Linked DNA regions of Daphnia pulex. Each later gene encodes a partner of the first gene's protein in a complex. Links are inferred from orthologs where the notes say so. Each region holds a gene or a part of one and is shown on either strand. Other genes may lie near its edges.

Region 1 (4,323 bases):
ACCGTAACCGTCCAATCGATCATTCGTCCAAGTCGAATTGGCAACTTCGGACGTTAGCCAATTCTATTTGGCGTTCCGTATTTTACAGGCGTTTTCAGGCTGATCTGTATGATAGGTTTTTCTTTTAAGTGTCACAAATTACCCTTCACGGTGGGAATTTTGTTATATCATGCAGTTAAGAATGCTGAATCGTATGAATAATTTTATAGATAAAAAGGAAATTAAAAAATATTATGGTAAAAACGTTAGGGTTTGTCAACATGATCACAGCTCGTCTTAATGACCAAGCGAACCAATAAACACTTTGTAGCTGGGCTTAGAGCTTGGATCACTTGAGTATAAAATAGTTAGCCAAATTGTTGGTGTAATCGAGCACTAGAGGCACTACTGTTGATTATTCCTATTTCGCCTGTGAAATCGATCCATCAGCTTGGAAAGTCGGAGAACCTGGTGCTCTGTTGTATGTTAATCCGCCTTTTTTTGTAAAAAGCTTTTGTGCACCATTTTCTCGTTCATAACAAATTCTAAATTTTGTTTGATAATTGGTATACCAAACCACGCAAATTATTGTTCAAAACGCTTTGAGATGTATAAATACTGCTTTGAAGTTATTAACATGAGCGTGACTTGCAACTCATCAAAGGGGAGTGTAATAAAATGGTCTGTGACCCCAATGGAGAATCAAAGAGGGGATTAAGCAATATATTCTTAAATCAGCAAGCTAAAACAATTTAATGTAAGTCTGAATGAACTCCAACATATCAAGTAGCTCATCAGTTGTATTGATAATGGTTGTGATACAACACTCCACGAGTATAGATACCAAACTACTTGAAAATCTTTCCCTGGTTGAAAGGACGACCATTTTTATCAGTGCCGGACCAGGCAAAATACTCCGCCACCATCTTCTTGGTTTCATCTGAATCAGGGTTCAATTTCTTCCAGTCGTATGTCTCGTAGTCAATCTGCCAATCAGGACACAACTAAACAAAAAATATTGTTAAAACTTAGATCCATTACTTCAAGCAAAGCTAAGCTTAAAAACAGGTAAGTCTTATTACTTTCCCTCTACTTGTTACACAAAATATCGAAAACAAAAAATATTTGTGTCTTTGAAAGAGGTAACATCATTGTAAACCATCTTACCTGGAAAGCTAAATCTTGCCCACGCCACACCCAAATTCCTGAAATGGTACAATCATTGTCTGTTCCAAATAAGCACATGGATGCAAAGCATTGTTTCCTCATTTTATCCAAACGTTGATACATGCCTATTAAAAAATGTGAATATTATGGGATTTCTTCTTTGAAAACAAAAAAAAAAAAAAAAAATTGTGGAATATACCAGAGATTAAATTGCAAGACATGAAGACTTTGGTAAGTTCATCAGAGTATTTGTACTCTCCAAACCAGATAGAATAATTTTCCTTGTCGAATTTGTCCCAGAAATAAGGGATGGATTTTGACTCTTCATTGTTAGAATAAAATCTTTTGAAATCATCCATGTTGAATGTTCCTTTGGGCATTTCATCAAATGGATCCTTGGACTTGGGTTCCTCTAATAGGGCTGCATCAGCTGCATCCATTTCCTCAGCCTCTTCTGGCTCTTCCTTCTTTGGCTTTGGTTTCTCTTCTTTTTTCTCTTTCTTCTTTTCATCCTTGACAGATTTCTTTTCTTCCTTTTTCAGAGATCCAGTTATTTTACCTGTTGACACATTGGATAAAAATGGCAATGAATTAAATGTTTAGAATTTTCTTACTCTGAAATTCAGCAAACTTCTTGGGATCAACTGGACACTCTTTCTGGCATATCTTAAAGTCTCCAATGATGGCTTTGAATTGTGGTTGGTTAACACAAGTAATAAACCATCTATTCAAATTTTGATAAGGCTTCCTGTTAGTTTCATCACAAATGCTCTCATAAAGGTGGAGAAGATTGCTAGAAAGAACAATATCTGCAAGAGTTATTTTCTCTCCAACCAAAAAGGTGCGTGTAAGAAGGTGGTTGTTGACGACAGACAAAATAGCCTTCAATTCTTCTTTAGCATGTTCAACAGCCTATACAAACAATACACCAATTAACATTGTACATATAAAATTAGCTTTGCACAAATAAACTAAAATAAGAAACATACTTGTTTGTTGTACTGAATGATTCCAAGGACAGGGAAAACAATAGTACAGGACAGTGGAAGAATTTCACTGTCGGCAAATGACATCCACTGAAGGACTTGGGCCTTTTCCACGTCACTGTTTCCTCGAAGCTGCTGGTTGGCAACTGTTCAATAACACTCATTACATCTCAATTCCAGAGGAATACTATTTTAGTAGTAATATTTACCGAAATATGCAATTGCATTGCTCTCAGCAATGCACTGCCCATCTTGGGATTCAAAAGCTGGAACCTATCAATACAATCACATAGACTTAAAACTTTCCACCATGAAAATGAACCGCATAAAGAAAATTACCTTTCCCAACGGAAATTTCTTCAAAAAAGTTTCACTCTTGTTGGTCTCGCCGAAGACGAAGTTGGAAGCGACATTTATTTTGAAACCAGAGTATTGAGCAGCAATCAAAGCCTTATTGGCCCTGAAGTTGCTTGGGTAAGTGTACAAAGTCTAAAATTAAAAAAACCCGATTAATTAGATATTGGACAACAGAATCACGCTTTAAAACACAAGAAGATGTCACGGAATTTCTTAGATTCAAACACAGATCGTACTTACTCCAGAAGCCATGATGATCAAATGCAGGGACGAGAACCTGACGTGGAACCAAGAAGAAGTCTGCTGCAAGAGAGAACGAGCTCAAACGTGAGAATAGTTGAAAATTTCTACATGGCAACGCTGTTAAGCGCGCAGCCCTTTGTTGGTCTGCCTTGCGGGCCACTCTTGCAGAGTTGCAGTTAGGATGTGGAAAGTGGAATGTGGAATGTGGAAGTGGAATGTGGAGGTGGAAAGTGGATACTTAAAACGGAATAGAGCTAGAACTTTAAAATGCAAACACTAGAATGCGACACTAGAATCGCCGCTAGACCGACCTGGAACCGACGGAACAGAACTATGGTTTTTTTACGTTTACTCATGCTCTTCTTGTCTTCTAGAGATCAAAGGCTACCTGACTTCTATAGGCTGCCGGTCGTGCCACGACATCTTTGGGGAGAAACTGAGAATCCATGAAAGCATCAACTGTCTTAGCAGCACTTAGCAGGAAGGTGTACTTCGGTAGTTCGGTCTCGGTGGTACTTCGGTACTTCGGTAGTCGGTACTTCATGGACTTAGCACGAAGACAAGAAGTGTATCAAGCTCAAACTGTGTTAAAAAGAACAGTTTTACGCGAGTCAAGAAAGGACTTCAAACCAAACAATTCAAATATTTTCAAATAATTAACTCAGTGCATTCATCTGAAGTCGGAGCGTTAGTGTAGAAAGTAAACAAAATGCCCGCCATTGTTTTAGAAAAGCCGAAACTCAGCAGACCTATGTGGAATTCATTAAAATCACACATAATCAGAGAGAGACAAAGGAAAAAGCAAGGTTGTTATGATGAAGCTCCACAATAATTGTGTTAATGTTTCAATTGTGCTCTGTAACTCATTTACTCTTAAACAGAACAAGAAGCTGATGCTGAGGTCGAGCGACAGCGAAGAGAAAGAGAAGATCAGCAAAAAGAACAAGAGATGACTTTAGAAGAAACTAAGGAACAAGTTGCTCAGTCAGAATCCAGGCTTTCTCAACTGAAAGAGGATAAGCATCAATTATTTCTGCAACTCAAAAAAGTTCTAAATGAGGATGATACGAGAAGAAAAATCAAAGAATCCAGTTTCAAGTATGCTATCTATTTTTTCTTTTAAAATTCATTCTTAGCATAGAATAAGAAGACAATATTCATGCTGAAATATCCTAGGAAGTGTGTAAATAGTAAATGGACACTAAAAGTTTAATTTGGTAAAATTTTCCCTACCAGTGTTCATATCAAGAGTGATCAATATCCTATGAAATTTTTGTCCATATGAATTAGATTAGAAACTCAAATATTTTTCATTAGCAGTGATATGATGCTGTTTCATCCCTATCCATCTGGAGCTCCATTAGTGCATCCAAACACCCATGGTTCTGTGTACATGCATCCTAATCTTGGGGCTTCAAGGCCAGTATTTAATGGAGGGAAGGAAGAAAGCATTTTGAATTTGCAAGGAGTGCCTCCTTCATCACTTTATGGACAAGCAATCAATATGGTTCCTTCTCTTGGACATCAAAGTCAAACAAATCAGAAGAGACCTCGTAGTCCATCCCCACCACCACCACAGCTGTATCATTCT
Region 2 (3,145 bases), on another chromosome or scaffold:
TCCTTAAGGTATAATATTCTCTCAATAAAGCTCCACGGGTCATTTTCTAATGTTTTAATTCTTTAGATTGGTGGATCAAGCGAAGTTGAAGTGAACGAGAAAAAGGATCGTGTTAACGATGCACTCTGCGCCACCCGAGCTGCCGTTGAGGAGGGTATCGTTCCTGGTGGCGGAACTGCTCTACTTCGCTGTATTCCTATTTTGGACAAGCTGTCCTATGCAAATGAAGATCAAAAAGTTGGCATCGACATTATTCGTCGCGCTTTGAGGATGCCTTGCATGACTATTGCTAAAAACGCTGGAGTTGATGCTTCCGTCGTCGTCTCTAAAGTTATGGACTCTGAAGCTTCCATTGGTTATGATGCCCTCCGAAATGAGTACGTCAACATGATTGAACGCGGTATTATTGACCCTACTAAAGTTGTCCGAACATCTCTTACTGATGCCGCTGGAGTTGCATCCCTCCTCACAACAGCAGAATGTGTTGTTTGTGAAATCCCCAAAGAAGAGAAGGCCGATGGCGGCATGGGAGGAATGGGCGGAATGGGAGGCATGGGTGGTATGGGAGGTATGGGCGGAATGATGTAACGTCCCAAATCCAAGTCAATTTCTGTTCCAACCTTTCATGTTACTTACCTTCTTGATTGTAGTGGTGTTGTCAAGTTGTATAGCGGTAATTTTGGAGATTTTCATTCCTCTTGTTTGACATCCCAGTTTATGTAATCATGTTACTGCTGTTCAATCTTGAGTCATTCATCGATCTGGAAGGCACAATTATCAGCTCTACAGCGTAGTATTGGACACGTATGAATCACTCGTGATAGGAGACACTACTGTCGTTTTTTTTTCGTAGTAAATCATTATAAAGTCTTACTTTCTAAAAAAAAAAAAAAAAATACATGAACAGTTTTTTGTAAAACCTTCTATGTTTTTGAAAGAGAAGGAAGGTAAAGGGTATAGTTTGGGTTGAATCATCTGGAATTCATCGATAAAAAATTGCTAAATAAATTGCAATGAACGTAAAAGTTAACAACTGACGTTTATTCGGTTAAATTTTGAAACAAATTACATAAAATATTTCTAGTGTAGTTGGATAAAATAACCAATCTCAGGACAAGGACTTTACTAACAAATGGTCGTTTTTCAATTAAAATAAAACAAGCCCTTCCTAAAGGGTATCATAAAATGACCTTAAGAATTCAGATTAAAATTGATGCAGTCATTAAGTTTTGCGCAAGCACAACGAATTGAAAATGCACATTGCTCATAGAAAATATGATTTCATTCCAAATCAGTAATGAAATTTCTGAATTAAAAATTAATTGTTATAGCTTTAAAAGTGCATTAAACTTTAACGTGTCCTTGAATTTTCCCGTAAAAATTCGCATTTCCCTTCCCTTTTACTGCCTGGGGGATTTAGGACGACGGTGGACAAACGAACTAAAATATTTAGCTATCTGGCAACACGTAACCGTCTCTCTTTGGTGTCTGCCATTGCCGAATCGCGTGTCAATTTCTACCCTCAGTCGGTTTCTTCCTTTCAGACCTGATAAAATAATCATGGCTTTCGGCGATCTTAAAACTGAAAATGGTGTTAAGGCCCTTAACGAATTCCTAGCCGATAGAAGTTACATTGAAGGGTAAGTTTTTCACTTTATTTTAAGTATGTGTTGCCGGGTACAATAGAACTGTTTCTTGAGCATGCTTTCCGTTTCGTTATATCTAAAAATATGTCGATGTTATATTCTTGTGTATAGATATGAACCGTCTCAGGCGGACGTGACCACCTTCCAAGCTTTAGGAAAGGCCCCTGCCAGCAGCTTCCCACATGCTCTCCGCTGGTACAACCACATTAAATCATTTGGGTCTGAAACCAGCAAATTCCCAGGTGCCAAATCTGCTGCTGCAGCCCCAGCCAGCAAACCAGCCGATGATGATGATGATGATGTTGACTTGTTTGGATCTGATGACGAAGAGGTACTAACCATAGGCAAATCCCTCAGTTAATGAGTATTAACAGAAATTTCCGCTGTAGGATGAGGCTGCTGAGAAGATCAAGGCAGAAAGAATTAAAGCCTACAGTGAAAAGAAATCCAAGAAACCTGCGCTTATTCCCAAGTCCTCAATTGTCCTAGATGTTAAACCCTGGGATGATGAGACAGACATGGAAGCCATGGAGAAAGCTGTAAAAACCATCACATGTGATGGTCTTATTTGGGGACAGTGTAAGTATTTTCAATGAAACACATTTTTTACAGCCAATTAAAACTGTATTGTTTATTCAGGTAAATTTGTACCATTGGCATATGGTATCAAGAAGCTCCAAATCGGATGCGTCATTGAAGATGACAAAGTTTCTGTTGACTGGCTTACAGAGGAAATTCAGAACTTCGAAGATTTGGTCCAATCAGTCGATATTGCCGCTTTCAATAAAATTTAAATAAAATCATTGTGTCGGAGCTGAGCCGGCTCGTGTTATCAGATATTTTGAATGCTAATCGTGCAAAGTGCCTGGCTCCACAATTACTGGCTGATTGAAATAAACATGCTGGGTTGTTACTCATAGTACACTTCATTTGCCATCATATTATGAATAGATTCCGTAATGCTCAAGCCTAGTTCATGTGGTTAAAGGGAATGTCGATTACACGAAAGAAGAATTCTTAGTTAGCTTTAAACCTTTTAATTAAGTCAGGGGTATGGAGAGAAATTCTCTCCATATCCCTGATAAAGAGTTTAAGACGTGTTCATCAGCTCAGCTGTTTTAAAAAGAGAAGTTAAGTTACAGAAACTTGGCAACAGTGTTGTGTTTACATGCTTCGTGATGTAGTCTCGACCAAAAATGTGTTTAGTTCTTCAGTGTCGTACTAACGTACTACATGAAAATTTAGTGAGTTCATCTGTTAGATAAGTTGTGCCTGAAATGTTTCATCATAAGAAAAGGGAGTTTTGAGAGAAGGTAGGGAAGTTTATGTAACTCTTGTTTCTTGTAGGCTATGTTTATTGGCCAAGGATTATTTTTAAATTTATGACTGAGACACAAAATTGTAGTGATTAGTATGCTAAAATTACGACTAAAGAAAGGTAAAGGTGCCACAATTGGTTGTGATTATTTGGATTATTTTTTAAATTTAGTGACTGACAA

Evidence for each region.
Region 2: the proteins of elongation factor 1-gamma-like (region 1) and elongation factor 1-beta-like are in contact, whole or in part, in a crystal structure (PDB 5DQS), measured with the Homo sapiens proteins. The link is inferred for Daphnia pulex from reciprocal best matches to the Homo sapiens genes EEF1G and EEF1B2. Residues at the interface, in NP_001395.1 of Homo sapiens: Leu146, Lys147, Thr148, Arg149, Thr150, Phe151, Glu155, Arg156, Pro185, Asn186, Arg189, Leu192, Thr193, Asn196, Gln197, Pro198; in NP_001032752.1 of Homo sapiens: Ala20, Asp21, Lys22, Ser23, Tyr24, Tyr28, Val29, Cys50, His51, Arg54, Asn57, His58, Ser61, Tyr62, Glu65.

What each region holds. Positions count from the first base shown.
Region 1 is NC_060020.1:8,828,847-8,833,169, reverse strand, and holds elongation factor 1-gamma-like, read right to left. Parts: upstream 3,025-4,323; 5' UTR 2,742-3,024; coding exon 2,730-2,741; intron 2,622-2,729; coding exon 2,472-2,621; intron 2,406-2,471; coding exon 2,342-2,405; intron 2,279-2,341; coding exon 2,136-2,278; intron 2,059-2,135; coding exon 1,761-2,058; exon of another isoform or gene 1,706-1,760; coding exon 1,346-1,705; exon of another isoform or gene 1,272-1,345; coding exon 1,147-1,271; exon of another isoform or gene 1,120-1,146; intron 1,048-1,119; exon of another isoform or gene 984-1,047; coding exon 828-983; 3' UTR 762-827; downstream 1-761. Other genes in the region: uncharacterized protein LOC124193185, read left to right, coding at 3,442-3,538, 3,614-3,830, 4,050-4,323. UniProt on the Homo sapiens protein: Probably plays a role in anchoring the complex to other cellular components.
Region 2 is NC_060021.1:6,594,172-6,597,316, reverse strand, and holds elongation factor 1-beta-like, read left to right. Parts: upstream 1-1,438; 5' UTR 1,439-1,560; coding exon 1,561-1,640; intron 1,641-1,757; coding exon 1,758-1,977; intron 1,978-2,035; coding exon 2,036-2,225; intron 2,226-2,285; coding exon 2,286-2,440; 3' UTR 2,441-2,559; downstream 2,560-3,145. Other genes in the region: heat shock protein 60A-like, read left to right, coding at 1-8, 67-588. UniProt on the Homo sapiens protein: Catalytic subunit of the guanine nucleotide exchange factor (GEF) (eEF1B subcomplex) of the eukaryotic elongation factor 1 complex (eEF1).